Linked DNA regions of Astyanax mexicanus. The protein of the gene in region 2 purifies or fractionates together with the protein of the main gene of each other region. This does not show direct contact. Links are inferred from orthologs where the notes say so. Each region holds a gene or a part of one and is shown on either strand. Other genes may lie near its edges.

Region 1 (7,605 bases), on a different chromosome or scaffold from region 2:
GATTGTTGGTATTCCTCAGAGCACAGATCACCAGCTCCTAAACACACACACACACACACATTTAACACAATCACACATTTAAAAAGTCAAACTATCATCAAACATGCCTCCACATTTACTTAATCTGTTTTGCAGGTAACGAATGCAAACAAAATAAGTGAATTATATGAAACAGCGCAAAAAGACAAGCTTTCCTTTATTGTTTACATGAATAGAGCTTGCATTTAAACATCTTATGCAGGCTATAAGAAAATGTTATGCCTAAATTATTCCACCAAACAAAACATCAGAGTGTTTTCTCCAACAGAGCTTAAATTTTAACAAAAAGAAAGCATCCAACACATAACTGTGGCTGAAAACAAGTGCGCAAAACATTGCGCCATGCCTTGTACTACTGCTAAAACTTGTCTGTCCACATTCCACTGCTGTCATTCCTAAACTATGTTAAATGATCACCTGACAAGAGAACATTCCTATTTTGACAAACATATTGTAAACCTGTTAACCCATGCTGGGGAATTTATGTGCTGTATTTGGTCGGCTCTCCTACCTCGTCAAAGCCTGCCGCCAACAGCTCCTGTAGCATCTGCATGTTAACCTCATATCCACGACCGGTGCAGGTGGGCTCGTTGGCAAATGGCAATAATGATTCTCGAATCACCTGCAGGGCTTTGTGGTGGGGGTTTTTGGGGTTGGCACTGCGGCCCTGCTGGCGCGGGTCCTCTGGCAGGCTCTTGCCCCCACCTGTCTCCACCTTGCCAGCATCAGAAGACAGGCGGGAGAGGTTCCGTAGGCTCTCCCGTATCTCCTGCAACATCTGCTGACTGTTGCCACTGTAGTTGCTTGCCGGAAACGTCTTCGGCCGCATCTGCCTGTATCCTTCGAGTTTCTCGCTTCTCTTCATGAAAAACCATGTATCTCACCAATCCCCAGTGTGAATGAGATGTTGCACGGTGCACAGTGACACTGTGAAAGTGTTAACAGCAAGCAGTGGATTTTACCTGCATACCAGAGCGATGCCCAAGTGTCTGTATATGCAAGGGTCAGACAAACAAACAACATTCAAAAAGAAGGAGAAAGAACAACAGGGTATTAGAATGGTTTCACTATAAAGGTCTAGATATAAAGTTAGTCTAAATCAACTCAAGAATCAACAACACTAGTTATGTCTAAGCGGACACACACTTATTTTGATAAGACAGCCATACATAAACAAACCTATATGCTATCTATCCTTCTACACAGTTTGCAACGTAAACCTCAGATGAAAGTATTTGTGCAGGTGGATACAATATGTGAGCTCTGCCCTGCTGTCAGTACCTGGAAGATTTACTGTGAAACAAGCAAAGCGTCAGTGTGAAGTCATCTTTCCAGAATAACAACAATTTTTTTTAAACACAGACTAGCCACTATTAACAGCTTATAATAATATTAATAACACTAATTGTTTAGCAACTTTTTAACGTTTAAGCCAATGCTAACTTAACTAGCCCAAAGATGCCTAATAAAACTCTAAAGGTAACAAGTACAAAGCAATAAAATTAACTGCTGACTGCTGAACAAAAAACGAATTCAAATCTTTTACGTTTTTTTTCAGCAAGTTTTTTATTTTTTTAAAAAAAGGTCGTCCAACATCTGAATGTATTGTTTCGCTCACCCAGGTCCTAACCTAGTTATTACAACTAATTATATATTATTTAAGTTATATAGCGATAAATAAAGGCTAAATAAAGCTAGTTAACTAACCTAGTTAACTAACTAGGCAACTACCTAACCTGGCCACCCTTGTAAAAAGTGTATTAAAAAGTACTTAAGAGTATTAAAAGTATGTTCAAATTAGGTAAAGAATATTAAAAATGCATTTGCGGTTTAATATACTTTATGAAAAATACAAATTAAACATATTTTCTCTGTATTTCCATAAAATGCATTTTAACCAATATGCTTTAAATGATACGTTGTGTCGATAGAAAATATAAATATTGGCATTAAATACCGCTTAAAGTGCACTTTAGTGTATTTTTCCCCAGTGTCAATAAGGAACAATATGTGCATCAATAGGCAAAGTAGTACATTTACAACATACTTCAAGAGTATTAAAAATGTTTCTAAAAACACATACTTAAATCCACTTAAGTTCGCAGAAGATATACGAAAAAAAGCACTCAAAAGCACAATTTAAAACTTTTATATTGTGTTTAAATAGAGCTTAATTACAACTGAAATATACTTAAGTCGCCATAAATTGTCTCAAAATGGTACATTTACTAACGTTATGCATTTAAGTACATATTTTAATTCCATGTTGAGTATAATTTAAATATATATACTTAATACACTTTGTTATACAAGGGCAACAATTAGTTGCCAGCTGCTATACAAACAAACAAACCAACCAACAGAGGATACATTAACATTACTCCTCCAGCGGCCGTGTTTAAACAGGGTTAGTTCGATGTTATCTAGAGTTATTTAAATGTACGGTGTTATTTTATCTTTCAGTAGCGACTCTTCTAACAGAGCTTCATGTTGAACACAGAAGATCGTTAGCCTGGCTAGTTCAGGTTAGCTAAGCTAAGCTAGCTAAGCTAATGTTGCAGAGTTAGCAGCACAGCTTCACTAGCTACCACTCTAGTTAAAGACTAGTTTTATCCCGCTCATTTCGAAGCCTGCGGTGTTGAATTCTCTGCTCCTGAGAATAAACACTATAAACAGCGGTGTTTCTGCTGGGAGAAGTTCACTCCTGGTGATAGCAGAGCGCCGAGGCCTAAACACTAACGATTCAGAGCGGAGAGCGGAGCCTAGCTTAGCCGTTAGCCCGGACACCCAGCACAGACTTAAAGTTACTCACCGTCGACTAAAGAATATCCATACTGAACCCAGACAACATCTACAGCGCAGTGTCGGTCTGAGGAGCCGAGGAACTCCGCTAAAACTCAGTGAAAGTGTGTGAAAGATCCGCTAGCTCCAGCTAAAGACTCGGCTTTGTATTGACACGGTCGCCTTGGCACTCCGAGTCTGTCAGAGCGGAGATGCCCGGATGTGTGAACGCTTCACTCTGCTCCCGTACAGAGATCACTCAGCTCAGCTCAGCTCTCTCTCTCTCTCTCTCTCTCTCTCTCTCTCTCTCTCTCTCTCTCTCTCTCACACACACACACACACACACACACACACACACGTTTTTACGGAACCCCTGAAGGGACATGGTGTATTTATTACGTAAAAAAGTGGTGAGCATCAGATATTAAGTGGTGAGCACCACATACTAAGTAGTAAACACCAGATAGTAAGTGTGAGCCTCACATACTAGGTAGTGAGCACCAGATAGTACGTGGTGAGCACCAGATAGTAAGTGGTGAGCCTCACATAATAAGTGGTGAGCACCAGATAGTAAGTGGTTAGCCTCACATACTAAGTGGTGAGCACCAGATAGTAAGTGCTGAGCACCAGATACTAAGTGGTGAGCACCAGATACTAAGTGTAAGCCTCACATACTAAGTAGTGAGCACAAGATAGTAGGTGATGAACCTTGCATACTAAGCTGTGAGCACCAGATACTAAGTAGTGAGCACCAGATAGTAAGTGGTAAGCACTCCATACTAAGTGCTGAGCACCAGATACTAAGTGGTGAGCACCACATACTAAGTGGTAAGCACCAGATAGTATGCGTGAGCCTCACATACTAAGTAGTGAGCACCAGATTCTAAGTGGTGAGCACCAGATACTAAGTGGTGAGCACCTCAAATTATGTGGTGAGCACCAGATAATGGTAGCCAGAAAGCTATAGTTTAAACTGACATATTTCACAGTGAAATAAAGTTCTTAGCTAGCTAGCTAGTTTAGCTAACCTTAACTACTTTATTTTAGTGTGGAATGTTTTAGATAGGTAGCGAAAGGTAGCTATAAGCCCAGAGCTAACGATAACCAGCTAACTCTTATGGGACATGTAAACTAAACCAAGCTAAATTTGCTGTCTTTAAGTTAGCTTGCTCGATCTTTGCAAAAGCAGCCTACATTACAAGCTAAATAATCCACACAGTTTTGATAACTGGATAGAGGATTGCAGAGCATGTGCACAGCACAACGTAGCAGTCTGTAAAGTCATGTACAGATCAGTGACTATACAATATGGTGCTCACTGCTTACTATCTTGTGCTCACCACTTTTTTATGTAAAAAAAAAAAATACACCACATTCCTAAACTAAAACTTAACTAAACATAACTAAAAGTGCCCTTTAGAGTGGGAAAACTGGCCCCACATATGTGTGTGAGTAATGGGACCAGGAGGAGTTAAACATGGCCCCCTCTGGGCTGTACACTGAAAATAGGGCTAAATATGAGCCGTAATATTCAGGATACGTTTATATTACCAGGCTAAAAAAATCCGTAAACATGCCAAATCCATTTATTTTTTAAATGTTTTTAATTTAAAATCAGATTTGAGTCACTTCCATATACAGTCCTATATCAGATATGTATCCGATCCATGGACATGCGAAAATATGAACGGTCAAATCAGAGTTCATGCGTCTTTTTGCCTTTACGCATGCGTTATGTGCTTCTCTCACACATCTCTTGGCTATTGTTGAAAAATAGCAAAAACAAGCCGCCTGGCCTTTTTTCTACTCCTTGACCTGGCCATGTTCTTCAGACAAGCTGTTTATTCTCCACTCCAGCAAAAGATGCTCCACATATGAGCTGCTAACTCATCCATTTCCCTTTATAAAGCTACGAGTCGTGTCTCATATGACATTTTTTGTTGTTTGTGAAGAAGGTGACGTTTATACACATAATTACATTAATGTGCGCATGTGATGCGTTTTAGGGACAGATCCATTGACATTACACACAGATACAGGTATTTTACATTTGTGAATGTAAACAGTCAAAATAATAGTCAATAGTCAAATAATGATGCCCTTTAATGATATGGCCTCATGAGTCCATGCTCACCCACAATCCACCTAGCCCATGTTCCACCTATGTGACCACCTTACTCTACACAGGATTGCATTTGGTTTAGGAGCACCACAGAATTTAATAAAATGTAATCACCGTCCAATCAGATCCCACTATTTAATTGGAGAGGGGCTAAAAAAAAAAGTAAAAAGACAACAACAAGAATATGGATGCAGCATCACCCTCCACATCAACAATAATGGATGATATTGTAGTCTATGCTTTTTGGAAAGTTTTAATATATCTGCCATTGTATGTGGAGCACTACTATGTATGATGTATAAAATAGTATGTAATCCATTTTTTGCCTGTCCTAGCAAGCAAAATCACACAATATTGGATCTGCTAGACACCCTTTATGTTTATTTTTGTGCAAATTGATTCAACCATGATTCAAACTATACTTACATTAAATCTGTATATCCTGTTTGTATTACATTATTCAAGTCTTTCTTTGTTCCTTGATATCAAGGCAGTTCTTGTAACTGTTAGCAAACCATGCTAACAGTTACAAGACATGACTTTGCAGCATATGCTAGTCTTGTATCAAAGTAGTTATGTAGCTAGGTTTTAGTACTTCAGATATACTGATTCGATTGTTATATGGTTTTATTTGTGTGCAAGCCTGATAACTGCTTGTGAATCATGTTAACTTGGTATCTTTTGTGTTCCTGTAGGGCAGTGGTTCTCAAACTGTGATGTGAAGCATTCCAAGGTGGTACACTGGATGACCTAAGAAAATAAAAATCTGCTTGCCTTAAAATATTGAAATCAAAGGACTGAAATCAATGTTTCCACCATAAATGTCCTAATATTGCATTTGCTTGTGTGCAGTTAGAACATGTATGTAACCCTAAACCTCAGGCCTTCACTCTCAGATCGACAGTTTTATAATTATTCAGATCAGTTTTATCTTGGCCCTAGTGTAAAACCCTGTAAAACACCACAAGTAAACTATACTAATATGGGCATGTTATATGTTTGTAACCTACACTAATCTAGCACACAATATGGACATTGGGGTACCTGTTCATTGTTTATCCTGCTTGTATTGCAGTAAAACTCTCTCTACTTCTAATTTAGGTGCTTTAATTAATCACTTAGTTCAAACTAAATCAAGCTATTAAAACGTGTCCAAGAATTATTGGAATCTTGGCATAACTGCACTATTAATAAAGTAAAGTTGGAAAGCAGTGACATCACAACCTTTACACTGTTTTAGACACTTGCTACAAGTTCATGCATGCCAGGAAATAAAAAGCGAACATTTTGTTTTTAAATTTGAAGGCAAAACAAACTGTATTCCTAAAATTACCCACCTAACATGGATCACTGCATCCAATTTTCAAATTAGAGGGCACTTAACAACATTTTTTTAGACACATTACCTAATTGACAGGTACATCACCAGATTGTTTTGCATTAAAAGGAAACCCTAGCTGTCACTCAACATTTTTACACCCATATAAAGGGCAGCCAATAGGGCAATATGCCAATTAGAGTTATTCATATCCAACCCACACACAAATCAAATTTCAGTCTAACTGGAGATGCATCTGACAACCAAGTGTAAATGCAAGTAGTTAAATCTCATCAATCTTACGATCTAGTCACAAAGGGCATGCTATATTTTACCACTCAAAACACATCAACATTGAAGAAAAAAAGAAGAAAATAAATGTTAATGGCAGCATTTGGTTTTGAAAGCAGTCCATTTTTTGTACATTTTCTATTTACTGAAAAGGTTTTTTTTGCATGATTGTGTCTGCATGCCTAAAACATTCTGCGCTTCCGTAGTGTGGTCATTTTTTGTTTCATAAAATAATTATTTATACACAATTAGAGCCTTAGTATGTTATGTTGTTTACAAAATAAACAAAATGTACAGATTTGGTTTGCTACAAAATTTTTGAAACTATTATTTCTACGAAATAAAACTTTAACATTTGTTTTGTTGCAGTGATATATTATTGAAATTAATAAAATATATTTTAACATCACGTGGCCAAGAATATCACTCACCCCTACTAGTCAAATTAATATCAAAAGGTAAATAATAAAAGGTCTACATCATGACAACTATTACAATTACATCAGGAATACAGACAAGTTGAATTGACTGATAAATAATAGTCCAATAAAAGTCTTGTCATTTTTTTACAATGCAATGACCTCTTTGGCGAACATTTGATAAACTTTGTGACGATTCATATGCAGTGCACACTTTCAAACTCAAATAAAAAGATCACTCTTTTATTAAGTGCATTATCCAAGGAAAGCATAACAAAACAAACAAAAACTGTTGGTCAGGTGAACATTTACTGAAAATAAATCACAACTCTTTGGTGCTGCGTATCACACAGGAACCTGTCTGTTTATGTAAACTGCCTCTCCATCAGTGCCACACACTAAGCACTGTCCAAGCACATCCAGACTGTTGACAGACAGAGTCTGGCTGGGAAGCATGTGAGTGGTCTCCAGCCTGCCCTTGCTGGAGTCTCCATTGAGCCAGGCACTGATGAGGGACTGGTTTCCCCCTGCAGGAGCTGCCGCACTGCGGGACATGATGCTGGTGTTGCGGCCTAAGAAACACAGACACAAAATAAAAGAGGAAAGACATTTGAAGTTTGTATAAGACTGAAAGT
Region 2 (7,611 bases):
TATAGTCATCGTGGAAATGCTCAGGCCTACGTGTGCGACGAGGCTGATTCTCATAGTAAGTCTCAGGGGCATAATAGTACCGACCTCCATCTCCGTTCTCTGTTATCTGCCCACCGTCACTGACGAAGGAGGGCGAGGAAGAGGAGTAGTCGTGGGGAAGGTCAGAGAGAGAGCGAGGGAGATATGGAGGGGCAGACAGACGGTGGCTCTCTCTGCGGGAGACCTCGTGGGGGGGTCGTGGGGCTGCACTACGGAGAAAACTCTTTCGTGCTCCTGCCTCCGCCGCTGAGCCCAGCGGGTACACATTTGCCCCTGCACCAGGTACTGCAGGGGCATCAGGCAACGGCACCTCAGTTCGCCGTGGGATTGTTGGGCCATGACGGATGAACGGGGGCATAAGATCTGTGGAACAATGGGATGCAGGTGAGTAGGTAATGGGTAGGATGATGGATAAAAAAAGGTCCACATAACTGCATAAACATCTTGTTTTCTACTTTACATAAAACTAGAGATGAGAAAAGGGATTATATTTCAACGCACTGTGATCAACTTTCTTTGCATATTGACAAAATACACTTTTTTTAAGCATGTTGAGGATAGCATCAGTGCTTATAAAAATTTGAGGCAACTGCCCATTTATTTACATAAGCGAAATTAGTTAAGTTTAACTGGATGAAGGACAGGAAAGTTTGAATAGAAATTACTGCACTCTGTATATAAAACAGTGGTCCTTGAATCAGTGTTGGCACCAATATTTGCTCTATCCCTAAGTGCTGGTGTAAAAAAAAGTATAAAAGAGACAGAATCACTGACACTGAACTCAATAAGCTGATATGAGCAAATGGGCTGTGCAATATGGCCCGAAAGAATATCTGTAATATCTGTATAGTATTTCTGAGATAACAATATTCTTGGCGATATGACAAAGAATATTATATATAATATTCAAAATTATAACAAAATAACAAAATTATACATAATAAAAATATCTTTACTGAAATATATACTTTAACAGTAAATCACAAAGTCTCCAATATTACATAAAATAGTGCATGGATATGATCTGCAAACAAACTGTTAAAAGTAAATAAAGTATGTAACACAACAAATAAAAAATAGACTGATTGCAAGAATATCGCAATGTCCTATTTTAACAAAATCATTGCTTACGATGTGATATGGCACACTTCTAATAAGTATTACAGATTTTTAGAGATCATCCGCATGAGCTGAGTTAATTACTAAAAAATAGTCCTGTCATGATAATTACATTTTTGACTTATCGTTCAATAAATGGACATGGCCTCAATATTATTTAATAATCGTGATATCATCTATTGTGATTATTTGTATGTTTGTTCACATATGTAACAGTGAACAGCGTATAAACCAGTCATGCAATGACCAATCAGTGCTTTAATAACTGTGACTCCATACACACAGTGTGGACTGAAGTTGAAGAAAAAAAAATTATATTTATGATTAATGAAAATTGTTGTATTTAAAAGGGTGAAATTGCTTTGTTATGCTATATATTACTCTATTATTCTGTCATAATTGTTTCAGTGGCATTCAAAGGTTAATATCATTTATTCCAATAATTTCTAGGATTATACATCAACCACAAAAACATCAGGACATGCCTAACTTAACTAAAAACACTGACAGAAACACAGAGCTCTCCTGTCAAATTCATAGATAGATGTAGACAAATTATAAATACATTTTCTATAAATTGTATTCCGTGGGTAGCTTTAAACCAGTAATGGTTTACTCTCTTATTGGCACTTTAAAGCTGGGTAAAGTTAAATGGGGTCTCCAAAACCTCTCAGTGAAATGCTTTAGCTCTAAATATGATACATTACTGGTTAGATAACTAGCTAACTACATTAAGAACAGGTCTAATTATTAGTTTTTGGGTGATTTCTCAAGGTTAAAATAAAATAAATGTAATTTTGGAACCTAGTGAGCGAGTCAAGTAGTTTTACTGTCAACACTGCATATGTACAGGTTTGAAACTACGTTACTCTCCTTCCCAAAGTTACAAAAAGTACAGCAAAATTAAATATATAAATAATAAAAGAATGAGAGACACTAAATGTAACTAACTTACAATACAACAATGTCACGGATATAGACATACGTGAGACATAAGACACGAGACAATAGTGCAATATAAGAATGAGAGTGTACCAGTTAGGTATGTTATGATGGGGGATTAAAGAGGGAATGACAGGACCAGTATAAAACTATACAGTGATAACCTAGCTAGTTAACCTAACTAACTATATCTCAGGCTAAATTACCCGGGTTTAACTTTACTCACTCCTCAGCAGCGGGGACGTCTCCTTCTTCACGTACTTCCCTTGAACTTCTGCTGGTTTAGAAGCTTCGCTCTTGCTTTTCTTTCTGGAGAGCATCGCTCAGAAGCAGCGGCGGCGGCGGGTTTTACTGTAGTGAAATAACCGCGGGGAAGGCATCCTGCGAACCAGTCCCTCCGTGTCGTTCCTGGACCTGAGGAATTAACGCTACAGCGGTCATCTTCACACCACTGACGGGTTGATAACCTAGCTGATCCTCCGCGGTTCCGGCTGGTTCCTCACACCGCCCCGCAGCCCATAGCGACCTAGCCTGCTAGTCAGTTAGCTCCGCATCCGGACAACAACAGAGCAGCAGCCCATTAGCCTGCTAACCTCTAGCGCAGCTCAAACTTTCCCAACTGCAGACTTCAGACTCAACACAGAGCTCCACACGCGGTTCCACACCGCGCCACGGTCTTCCCGAGTGTGTAGGGGCTCTACCGACCGAGGGTAAGGGAGTTTAAGCTGCTGAATAAGTTTAGAAGTGAACGCTGCGCAGTAGTTGTGTAGTTAGCCTGTTGCTCCGTAATTACCCAGCCCCTATCATTAGCTAGCGCAACACTAGCGCTCCCAGTCCCAGTCCGCTCCTCCGCAAGGCTTTGTGGGAGAACTGACGCACGCAGACACACAGGAGCACCCAGCGACTGTTCCCCAACCTGACCCCAGATCAGTCATTTACTACACACAACTAAACCCTTTTATTATTAAGATGAAAAATATATTGTTATTTTATTGATAGGGAATGTTTTTTGTAAACTGTTATAATTTAATTTACATGTTCAATATCGTCAAACATCCATAATTAGTGAATTTGGATTGAAACATGAGAATTGTTTGCTGCTGTAAAAATACTAAAACAAAAGAAGTTACGTTTAAGATTTTACACAAACCTGACCCCAGCTCAGTCATTTATTACATACAACTGAACCCTTTCATTAAACAAAATTATTAAAAGCGAAATTATAGTTATTTTATTGACAGAGAATGTTTTTAAAACGGATATCCTTAAATATACATGTTCAATGCAGTAAAAAAAAGCCATAAGTAAATATGTATTGAAACATGGGAAATGTTTGATACTGTAAAAAAAAAAACAATAAAAGAAGTTACTTTTAAGATTTTACACATACACACATTAAACACGTTCCCTGTTAAAAGTGTTTATAGTATGTTTAAAATTATAATGTACATTCCTATACCTTCTTGGTAGAAAAAGGAACTGTATCTATCAGTTTGAACTGTTTTGAATCAAGGTAAAAAAATAAAAAAAAAACAGGTATCTAATGAGTATCTAGATAAAATGGTCTAAATATAAGCCAAACTCTACTTTTGAAAATAAAAGAACAGTTCAGTTTCTGGATCCGTTTCTCTGATTTTGCTATTTATAGGTATATGTTTGAGTAAAATGAATGAATTATTAAAATCAAGAAAACAAAACCGACTGTGATTAATGTGTAAGTATGCCCCCTGGCTGTGGATTGCTTTTAGCTGTTCTGAATACTTTACCTTTGATTACAGTTCACAAAGTGTCTTAAAACTATTACTTTCACATCTCCTGTTGAAATTATAAACACATAGAAAAAAATTTATGAAAATTGCACTTTTCAAAATGATATATTTTCTTTGTATTCAGAGGACACTGTTTCAGATAGATGTACCTCATTTGTTTATAATACAAGGGGTGGAATATGTTTTACCTTTACAATTTTATTTTATATATATAAAAATACCTATTGAAATCAAATAATTTTGTTAATCACATATTACAGTAAATATTAGATCATAAATTAAAAAAAATAAATGCAGAAAACAGATGGTCCAACGAGAAAAGATAAGAAATTACATAAATCTGAAAGCTGTTAAGAACACAAAACATTAATTTGGATTAATTTAAAGTCACCCATATACTGCTGTTTGGGGTTTATATCTTTTTTATAATTCATGTACCCATTTGTTGTTCTATGTTTTGTTTTTAAGTATGTGATTGTTTATAACATGTATGTAATTCTTTTAAATGTTACCCTTAACTGTTATAAGCTTATTATAAACTAAGTTAAGAAGAAAGCAAAAAAAGTTTACCCCTGATTAGTGGATTTCATTATTATACTGTACAGCAGCACACACAGTGGGCCAGGTGGGTGGGTGAGCATCCGGAAGCTTCCACATTCAAACCCAGAAAATGACCACTCAAACACCCCATTCTCTAAAACTGTTTACTGCATCTCACCGTTTCACACAAACACTGATTGGCCAATACAATGTCAGTTCACTTGATAGACAAAAGCAGCTTTTGATGGCCAGTGGCAACAGGGAAAAGTCTCTTTGGCTCTGTTCAGAAAACATTAAACACTGTAGAACAGTTACACTTCCTGCATCAAGCACCATTACTGGATGCCTTCCATTCATTACATTACTAGGTAGTTTCCTTTAGCCGAACTGGCTTCCCTTTACATGCTGGTGATGTACGTTTTAAACATGCTCCTGTTTCTTAAGATACATGGCCATTTGAAGAAAAAGAATAATACAAGTTATTAACATAACAAAATGTCTTCAGGTCAGTTTCCTCAGACCTACATTAGGCCTCATCAAAGACCAACAAAAATTCCCAATGGTGACTCACCACTGGCACTGCAGGCTTATTTATTCAAGGCTGTGTACACTGGCCCCTAAAGTAATGCTTCTTTAAAACACATTCACAGTGATCTATACAGTGCTAAAAACAGAACATTTAAAAGACAATCTCATTTTAATACAAGTTGTGCTTCACTTAGTGCCTTCAGTTTAAGCCCAAGCAGACAGACAGGCTTCAAACACAGAAGTCTGTTGGTTTGAGACAATCAAAATGAACACTGATTCTGTACAGAATAAAGTGCACTTTAACATCAGGATGTTTCAGACTGCAACCCAAAGTCAGCCTGAGCCATGTGTCCCTTCATATTCTATCAAAATAAAGGTCATAATTAAATAAATGAATTCAAGCTAATTCAGTACTGAACATATTAAACACAAAACTGGGAAATATAGCTGGACATGAGATGGTTGTAATCTCTAAGAAATACTGAGAAAGGCTGAGTCACAGTGCAAATACACAGGTGTTGGGAAAGATGTAGTCATTCATAATTGTTTAACAGTTTCATTTCTTCACATACTGATGGTATTTTGGCTGAATGCCCAGAGCTCAAACAATGCCTAAGGTCCATCAAGAGTCATACTGAACTTGAGGAAACAGCAAACATTTAACTGTGCGTGTGAAGAACACCACAGTAGTCTAAGGGTGTTTTCACACCTCTAGTTACTTTGCTCTGGTCTGAATTAGTTAAATAGTTTGTAAGTTTTCCCCTTGGTTTGGTTTGTTTTCACACAGGGAAACTCCAAGTGCAGTAATGTTCTCTATGCATATTGGTCACACATCTGTAGGGAGGGAGCAAGAAAAAGTCAATACAGGGAAAGGACCCTGTTATCTGGACTAGCGCAATAAACCATTTTAAAAATGTGTTTAGCCCAGACTTGCAGAGCACATCCGATAGTTTGGTTGAATAGAAGTCAGATCATATTCTTACTTCAAACCAAATCACACCAAGGGAAAAAATTAGCCTGAATTTGACTCCCTGAATTTTGTTGCAGTCTAATGAAATTTTAATGTTTATTATTAGCTAACAATTGTAATCAGTGTTTTCTATTGGTTTGCAATAATAATGAACCAAAAATGATGTCTTAATGGCCTATTCAATAAAATAAATTAAAATAAACATAAGTAAATAATATAACACAAACAAACGTAGTGTAGACTGGATTATCAGGAGCGAGTGAAGTGGTAGGGCACAGGAGTCAGGGGTGAGGGACTGAGCTCACGCACAATCTTGTTGAGACTGGAGATTTTTTCTTCCAGGAGGTAGTTCTTCTTCTCTGTCACTTTGTGTCTCTGCTCACTCATTTCCAGAGCCTTCAACAGCTGAGCGTTCTCCACATACAGATCCTTAATCAGCACGTCCGCCTTACTGTTCTTATTAAGCTAGACAGAGAGAAAGAGAAAGACCACTGTAACCCTTACATTACTGCACAAAAAGAACAGAAAAATAAAAATGTACAAAGTGTTTGAGGTGGTGTGCATTTGCATGTACCTGTTCTTTGAGTTGAGAAACCTTCTCCTGCAGCAACAGCTTGACATTTCGGAGTGTAAGCTCCACCTCCTTCATCCTCTCCTCCATCTTCAGCAGTGCCAGCTCCCGCTCCTCCTGTAGATGAACAGGATTTGTTAAACAGAGTTCTTGAGCAGCAAAGCCTAAGTCCGTAAATACCGCAGATCATAATTGGTCATCCAATCGAGTAGATTTTTATCAGAACCCGCTAAGGGACAAAATAATACAGTATGCAGTATACATTTGTAAGAACTACTGTAAAATAATGTACACATAAAAAAAACACAGCAACAAACAATTTTAAAATTTACCCTGATTCTTTATTTGGTCTCAGTTTCACAGATTTATTAATACTTTAAGGTCAGAAAGAAGAAACAGAACACAACTTAAATAAATAAAACATAAAACACTAACAACAAATAAATAAATAAAATATAAAAAATAAACTCCAAAATTAACTCAAATAACACAAATAAATAAATTAATTAATAACTTTTAATAGCTTCTACTTAAAAGTACTACGAACGCAGATAAACTTCTACACTGAACTTCTACACTGGAAAGTTGACGACACCAAAATCCCTGTAAACCATTATCTGTTGGACACGATTTAAGCTTCAACATTCACTCAAAAAATACTTGAGCTATACTATTTCACAAACACATACACAAAGAGAAAATAGTGCAATAAACTGAGCTACGGAAAATCACAAAGACTTTAAACAAACCAACCCCTGGAACAAAGAAAATACGGTTTTAGAAACAAACAAACAAAAAAAAATACAGATCATTAAACAGGGGCAACAATACAAGTCTTCAAGTTCTCAGGATTTAAACTTGTGGTGTAGTGTAACACATTTCAACACACAAATACCCTGAACATAACCACTGAAATGTAACCTTATTTTATCATGTTGGTTGATCTACAGCATGGTGCCTCAGCGTAAACTGTGTGTATTATACACAACGTGATCACAGTATGAAAGTTTCATGCTTTTACTTTACATGATTTAACATGCAAATACTCTGCTGGACTTTTCAGCCTACCCTGTTTGTTCCTGTAGTCTTTAAAACATGATCATATACATATCATACAATCACATTATTAAGTA
Region 3 (7,937 bases), on a different chromosome or scaffold from region 2:
TAATCCACACTTTCTTTGAGCTCACTCTAAAAGAAGGAAAGTAAATGAGCCTCATTCTTTTCCAGCTCAAAGCTGTTTATTCTCCACAGTTAGCTCTTGAAGCATGTAGTGTTGCTTTATCGTTATAATCCTTCAGGAAGTGGTCTCTGCTTCTCATTCTCACTCTCTGCCAAGTCATTGTCTTCTGAAGCCTTATCTGATCTTCCATAATGCTGATGAGAAAAACACTGCGCACCATCCTGCTGTTTCTTATTTTTAGAGGAGTTTCCTCTCTTTATCCTGTTTTAAAATATTTTCCCTATTTTTTCCTTTATCCACACATCTACTATATAGTTACAAAAAAATGGTGATAAGTATCATGGTACAGATATATAGTGATTTTCTAAATCAAATATATATTATAAAGGAACACAATCATATGCACAAAAGCTGAGTTCTCTTTTTATCCAATCTGAACAGTGGGATCTGAAGAAATTTCTACACTACCATCTCGCAGTCTGGGTTTAAACACAAAATGAAATGAACCATTCATAAACAATCTATACTGTATGTCAAAACATTCCTTTTGATACCTCAATATTTCCGTACAACCCAAGTTACATTAATTATATTGTTATTTTTTGCCATAATGGGCATTTGTTGATCTGTGTCTGTTGTCTTTTGTGTTCATGTCTGTAGCTGTGTGGATTTTTGACGGAGGTTGTTATCGATCAGCTGCCCAATCTTTCTGATCTTCAACGTTTCCTCAGTCATCTAGCTGTTACAGACCCGGCACCACCAAAAAAAGAACTCATCCTCGAGCAGGTACACTGCTGCTACACACACACTTTCTTTATCACTGTATTGCTAGAGAGGTTGTGAACCCATTACAGTTTTTTTGTATTTTCTGTATTACACTTAAATTCAAATGTAGATCTTGGATCTTGTCTATAATTAATTGAGCCTTTGGACCCAGGGCAGAAAAGCAGCCTGATAATGCCATCTCCATGCACAACAGTTGGGATATGGTTCGCTTTCCATTTAAACAAAAGTTTTCTGTTTAAGATTTTTCTGTTTTCTAGGATTTTTCTGTTGTCTGTTTTTGTTTTCTGTTGCCATCCATGTAGTATCCAGTTCTTCACTTCAGATGTGCAGCAGTGTTCAGTGTCCTTGCCCTTGGACTATAACCGTTGTGTTAAGTTACCTCCATTTGCACATAATCTTTCTCGTATAAGTGGGTTGCTTGGGCATTCTTAATTCTTAACTTTTTATCCTTTCTTCCTTCCTTTTTCTCCTTTGTTTGAGCCATTCCACAAAGTTCTGTGGTGAAGATTGTAAAGTTTATGTTTTTTTTTGTTATCCAATTACAGGTCAATTATGTAGGCATACAGAAAACTGTAAAGGGTTTACGTTTTTAAATAGATAAATGCAGATCATACGCCATTAGAATCTAAATCAAATATACTGATTTAATTAATAAACCATTTCTGACTAAATACTGTTTTAGCTTCCAGAAATTTGGAATGAAATTGTTGCTGAGAATTCTGGCAAGTGGAAGGCTATAGCAAAGCATCAGGTGCAGAAAGTGTTCAACCCATCCGAGAGTGAGCTGAGACAACAGGCAAACAGGTGAGTTTTAAATTTAGAAATGTGCATGCAATGTGTGATTAGTTCAGTATGATGAGCTGTGTGTGCCTGCTCCCCAGGTTGGCTGAGATGTATAATCTTGATCTGATGGAGAGTCTTATACCGGATAAGCCAAAGTGCGGAACTTGTGGTGCGGAGGGGATCAAACGCTGCTCCCGCTGCCAGGGGGAGTGGTACTGTAACAGGTATCCTACATTTACCTAACAGCAAATATATCTCAACCCTGAAACTAAGGAATCTGTATTAAATTGGATGTTTTGGATGTAAAATTCAGACCATGGCTACCTTTCAGAATGGTAGGACTAGCCATGCTACAGTGCCCCCAGAAACGGAGAGGGTTAATGGCCTTGTACAAGGACTCAAAAATGGCATTTTTTGAGCCTTGTGATCAGTAAGTCAGTGCTTATATTTGTATTATATACCTCATGGCTACTGATAACACTGGCATTATTGGAACAGCTGTGAGGTTGCTGACAGTGTGCATGCAGTGGTGTTTCATGCTATCTTATGAACACTAATACTTTTGGTTGTAAATTTGCATTTAATTTGGGCATTTTTCATTATACGACTACAAAAACAAAAAATAGTGGATTATGGATTATGGATCTAGTTTGACGTTCTAATGTACATGCAGCTCTACACACTAGGGGTGAGTGATATGGCCCTAAAATAATATCACGATATTTCACGGTATTTTCGCCATATCGATACTCTTGGTGATTTGACAAAACACTAAATTACAAAAATTATTTAAAGAATACACTACTGCAACAAAAGGAAATTTGTATTTTATTATTTCATACAATACGATATGACACACCCCTAACTGAGGTATTAAAAATACAACAATTGTATCAGATTTGTAACAGAAGTCAATGATCCAGAATGTCATGATACTAATAATGAACTCCAAATATCTCCATATATCCAGGATTAACGTAAAATAAATGATATTGGAGAGATATGATATGTCTCTAGTAGATATATAATGGGAAACGAGAAGAGTGTAAATTATTTTTTTGCTAAAAACAGCAAAAAAGTAGTACCCTGGTGTGATAATTAGGGGTGGGTGATATGGCACGATATTTCAGGGTATAATATTGTTAACGATATTCAAAAATGTTGGCGATATTGTTGCGTCTGATACGATATAGCACACCCCTACTACACACACATAGTTCTTTCTTCCTGAAAACTTGTTCTATATTTGAAACCAAAAAATTCGCATTATGCACTATTTACAGCTTTAATTCAGTTTTGAGTTCTACAAAAGTATGTGTCTTTCAGAAACATTCACTAATGAAATTCAGCAACTCCCCACAGGTTTCTGTTGTGAGTCAGTGTGTTTTCTGGCTTTTTATAGTTCTGGGGAAATGATTCTTACTGACCGTATGCCACAGAAGCTGAGGATAGAGATAAGATCACCAGACAACTAAAGTGCACTAGACACAGCCACAACTCTTTCAGACTTTGATTAGATACCAGCTACATTGTTCTAAATAATACATATGTTTCCTTGTAGAGAGTGTCAGGTGAAGCACTGGCCCAAGCACAAACTTGCCTGCCAGCTGATGGCAGAGGCCACAGAGAAACTACAGAAGGAGCTGAACATCAAGACCTGAGCAGACCGAAAATGGAAAGAGGCAGAGACTTCAGATGCAGAATCACAGAGAAGAGCAGACAGACAAATGACTAAACTCCATTATCACACTGACCTTTGTAGAATGTGTTGCTATGGTTATGGTGGTCATAATGGGAACTGAGGAAGAGAAGGAGTTTTCCTCTGCTCAAGTGAGCAGAGCATGTGCATGTTTTTCCCTGAAAATGTAAAAAAAAAAAACTTTTATAGTTCTCATAAGTGTTAGAACATTCTGCACACTGCTTCCCCATGACCAAAGGTATATGTATGAACAATGCAGATGCTTTATCCTTCACTCTCATTTCCCTGTACTTCCCTTTTGTTTGTTGGGTGGTACAACTTCTGGTACACAATATAGGCTACTGTTTGTTTCTCAACATTGAAACCCTGACTTTTGGCTAATACATGCATAAGATATATGATAGCTATATGTTGGTGCCATATGTTAATAAACACTTTAATAAATCTCCAGTGAATTGAACAACCTTGAATGTTTTTGTACAGTTTCTGTGTGTGTGTTTTGATGGCTTGTTTGATCCATATAATTACACAGTGACAAATTAGTTTAAAGTAAATTGAAGTCCATTCCTAGCACTCTAAAATATATGATGTTTTTAATCCTGTACACATTTTCCCATTAATGGGAGAATTGCTGTCGCATTCTTTTAAAGTGCCACATCATTTTTGGAATACTGTCTCATTATTTCGACTATTTCACAGTAATGGTTTATCACAAAACTATGAAAAAGTGTTTCGAAACAATGACTTAGTTTCTCAGAACAATGAAATGGTATCTCCAAACAATAAGATAATATCTCATAATAACTTAGTATATCAAAACAATTTGAGGGTATCTCATGACTTCGTGTCTTAAGACCATGTGAGGGTGTTTCAAAACAATGAGATATATATCTGATAATATTGACTTAGCATCTTAAAACAATAATAAAAATGACTCTCAAAACAATGTGATGGCATCTCAAAATAACTAATTAGTATATTAGAACAATGAGACATTATCCCAAAATAATGACTTGGTGTCTCAAAACAATGTGAGGATATCTCAAAAAATGTGATGGTATCTCTAAATTATGGCTTAGCCAACATTATCTTAAAATAATGACTTTTCTCAAAACAATATGATGGCATCTCAAAACAATGAATTAGTATCTTAGAACAATGAGATATTATCTCAAAATGACTTTGTGTCTTAAAACAATGTGATGGCATCTCAAAATAATGAATCTTAAAACAAGGTGAGGGTATCTCAAAAAATATGATGTAATCTTAAAACAATAGTAGTAGTAGACAGTATCTCTGAATCTCAGATAGTATCCCAGAATAATGACGTAGTACCTCAGAACAATAAGATATGAGTATCTCAAAATAATGACTTGGCATCTCAAACTAATGAGACAGCTATTTCCAAAACAATGGAAAAAATATATTTGGGGATTTTGTAAGTGTTTATAAAAAGACCAAATCATGGAAAATTTACTTTCCTTTTAAATTTAAAGAAAGTTTGATTTTTTTATTCAAACATGCTAATCCCACACGCGCACACACACAGGCACAGCATACACACACTCACACCCACAGAGGGCATGGCTGGAGAGCAGGCTGTGGGCTGGAGTGATACAGTGTGATTCTGCAGATGTAGTTACAGAGTCTTTAGCTCGCTGGCTGGATCCACTCAAAACCCAAAATAAGAGAGAAGAAGAAACTTACCACTCTTCTCTTTTACCAGCAGGAAGGAAAGGGGTTATTTCGTCGCTGCTTTGAGACATATCCGAAGAAATGACGCCAACATTTCGTGAGCCGTGGACGTTATCTTTCTCTGCGTTTCGCTATAAGCAGAAAAATGGAGACGAAGCGCTGGATTTGAAGCTGCTCAAACCCTCGTTCATGTGAAGGCGATTCCTGGAGCTTACCGTGGTGCTGTCTGCTCTTCATACCCGCGGGTGAGCTCTCAGCTCGGTGTCTGAGCTGAAGACAAGCAGCAGCCTTTTCTCTCAGCGGAATTGTCTTTTTAAAACTTCACCAGTCCTCTCAGCCATGCGGTAGGAGACCACCAAAGTTTTGCTTTAAAAGTGCTAGGTTAACATTTTATCTCAGACATAGTTTTAAACCTAACGTTTTTTAAAAGTAGAAGTACAAAATGTACTATACTGTATTTTTATAACTAGGGTGTCAACCAAAGTCTGTTTAGAAATCTACCTTTATTTAGGAGATATATGTGATACATTCTATATATTCTTTTAAAACTAGTTTTTAAACTATAGTTAACTAGGTAGGTTATGTAGGATAACTTATCTTTCCAGTGGGAAAGTGAATGTATTGTAGCTTACCTTTAAATCTCTTTTCAACCACTCAACTGGTCCTCAAAGACCCTTGTTGGAAAGTTTATTTGACATTTTTTCATTGTATGTGTTCTTTGAAAGACAGCATATTTAGCCGTTACCTGTACAATACCCTTAATTCTGACACTTGTATTGTATTTGTACTTCATCCTTCTTCTTCTTAATCTAAAATTTGCCAAACAATCTTTAGCCTGTCTCTTAATCGTATGGCTCTTAAGTATTATTATTATTTGACCTAAACCACAGGCCTTTCCTGAAACATCAGCAGATCTCATTTGCTCATGTTTTTCACCACAGAAATGATTCAAAGAGCTACCTAACCCTAAAACCACTTGTCAGGCTGGTGTTGATTCTACATTTCAAAGCCTTAACAAACTATATACTGTGATGATTTCTTAAAGTTAAAAAGACCTTTAATCTAAATGTCAGACATCATTCAAGGTCATCATACATAACCTGACAGACTAAGTTTAAACTGCACTGACTGCAGTGGAAAAGAACAATGAAAGCCAATAAAACCCCGCATTTTTTGAAGTCATCAAACCAAAAGTCATTACCTCTTAACTACACATCATGATGCCCAATGTCTGAAAAAAATGGCTTATTTCAAATGAGTCAAGGCAAGAGTCAGCTACAGTTGAGTGGACATACTGGACAAGACAGCCGTTGATCACTGGAAAGCATGTCTTTTGGTGAGATGATTGAGCTTAAAGAGCTCACCATGCTGGAGGGCCGCATTGAACTTACTGCTTCTGCACCATCTCGGACTACTCGTTTGGAGAGGGTCAATGCATTGAGGATAAGCCCAGGGAAAGTTCCTGAGCTGATAAACCGGGTCAGGATCATCAGACTACTGGGGGACTCTATGGATGACCCAAGACTTGTGGATGATACAGGAGAAGGCCATAACTTTCAGCCCTGCAGCCATACTCAACCCACGTGGTGTGACCTGTGTGGAGACTTCATCTGGGGGTTGTACAGACAAAGCCTTCGCTGTACAAGTGAGTATCACCTTCATTGTGCTTCCTGTGAATTGAATGAAATAGTTTATTCTTTAACCCCTCAGTCTGAAGCCCTCAAACATAATATTGTAGTTACCAAATCTATCAAGTAGTTACATAGTTAATACATGAACACAGTTTAGGATTAACAACTTAATAACAAGCTAAATGTTTAAGGAAGTTTTGTATAGTGCAGTCTGTGATGTAGATTTACATCCATGCATCGACAAGCTTAAAAGTAATGAAAAGTAAGGTATATGATCCACATAATCCATGAATGTTCTCGGTATATAGTCGCTATCCAGCAGTCTCTAAAACAGCAACTTTTACAGAAGAGAGAAAAAACTTGTATAAATATATTTTTCAAGATAGGATTGTCTCTCAGTTTCTCTTCTTTTCTTTTCTCTTACAAAATGAATGGCTTGTCACACACCCCTGTTAGTGGTTGGGTTTTTCTTCTCTACACATTTCCCAACACATTCCCACAACCTCTCAGTAAGATTTATATCTGATGAGTGATTGTATTGTAGTAGTATTATCTGAACTTCCTTATTTGTTAACCAAATTCATCACTGGATGAAAAGCGTGGCATCTTTCTTTGTTGTATTATTTTATTGAGTATAAGTTGTAGTTATTCAACAAAAAAGAAATGATCAGTAAAAGGAGTCTGTAAGAAACACGCAGAACAGTTAATGAGTTGTTACAACTACAACTAGTTAATCCTCTCACTCTACCATACATAACATAATCTTCTGGAGTTTGCTCTAAACTATTTTTTGGCACCAAACACAAAACATTAGAACATGCTGATAACAGTAGGATAGTTATTTGACACATAAATAGGTTGGCACAAAAATGTGAATGTCATTTTACAACCCTGTTATTTTGATAATAGATCTGTATATTTCATTTATTTTATAAAAAATAAACTTGTGCTTTCCCTTCTGATGAGTCTGTAGGTCCAGGTTGATTGGTCATTTGAGGGAGTTTGGATAAAAGACAGCTAAAAATAAATGCTGGCATCTGCCTGTGTTAACGCCCTTTTAAGTCCGATTTGTTTTATGGACAGGAACAAATACCTATTTATGGCGCCCTAAAATGAAAGACTTCAACACTGTTTGATACTCTGCTTTGTTGGATGTGTTAAAATCAGACTGACCTATCAGAGGTTTATTTTCCTGGTCGCAGACCATAAAAATAAGTCTCACATTAGCAGATTAGAACACAAAAGCTTAGCTATATGAAGAGCAACTCACTGACTATAAAATTACAGATGTTAAGGAAAATAAATGACAGAGCTTAAAGGCTGAA

The links. Proteins that work in one complex are often made in the same cells at the same time.
Region 1: the proteins of sav1 (region 2) and lats1 purify together in Homo sapiens (affinity purification with western blotting; 3 studies listed by BioGRID). This does not show direct contact. The link is inferred for Astyanax mexicanus from reciprocal best matches to the Homo sapiens genes SAV1 and LATS1.
Region 3: the proteins of sav1 (region 2) and ras association domain-containing protein 1 purify together in Homo sapiens (affinity purification with western blotting; 3 studies listed by BioGRID, with this or other methods). This does not show direct contact. The link is inferred for Astyanax mexicanus from reciprocal best matches to the Homo sapiens genes SAV1 and RASSF1.

What each region holds. Positions count from the first base shown.
Region 1 is NC_064408.1:49,370,488-49,378,092, reverse strand, and holds the start of lats1 (serine/threonine-protein kinase LATS1), read right to left. Parts: upstream 3,071-7,605; 5' UTR 2,852-3,070; intron 1,029-2,851; 5' UTR 905-1,028; coding exon 551-904; intron 38-550; coding exon 1-37. Other genes in the region: nucleoporin Nup43, read right to left, coding at 7,316-7,542. UniProt on the Homo sapiens protein: Negative regulator of YAP1 in the Hippo signaling pathway that plays a pivotal role in organ size control and tumor suppression by restricting proliferation and promoting apoptosis.
Region 2 is NC_064414.1:39,086,121-39,093,731, reverse strand, and holds the start of sav1 (protein salvador homolog 1), read right to left. Parts: upstream 3,013-7,611; 5' UTR 2,421-3,012; coding exon 2,327-2,420; intron 403-2,326; coding exon 1-402. Other genes in the region: nin (ninein), read right to left, coding at 6,157-6,372, 6,482-6,595. UniProt on the Homo sapiens protein: Regulator of STK3/MST2 and STK4/MST1 in the Hippo signaling pathway which plays a pivotal role in organ size control and tumor suppression by restricting proliferation and promoting apoptosis.
Region 3 is NC_064412.1:14,811,470-14,819,406, reverse strand, and holds the start of ras association domain-containing protein 1, read left to right. Parts: upstream 1-4,867; 5' UTR 4,868-6,307; coding exon 6,308-6,626; intron 6,627-7,937. Other genes in the region: zmynd10 (zinc finger MYND domain-containing protein 10), read left to right, coding at 679-804, 1,487-1,608, 1,686-1,811, 3,149-3,248. UniProt on the Homo sapiens protein: Potential tumor suppressor. Required for death receptor-dependent apoptosis. Mediates activation of STK3/MST2 and STK4/MST1 during Fas-induced apoptosis by preventing their dephosphorylation.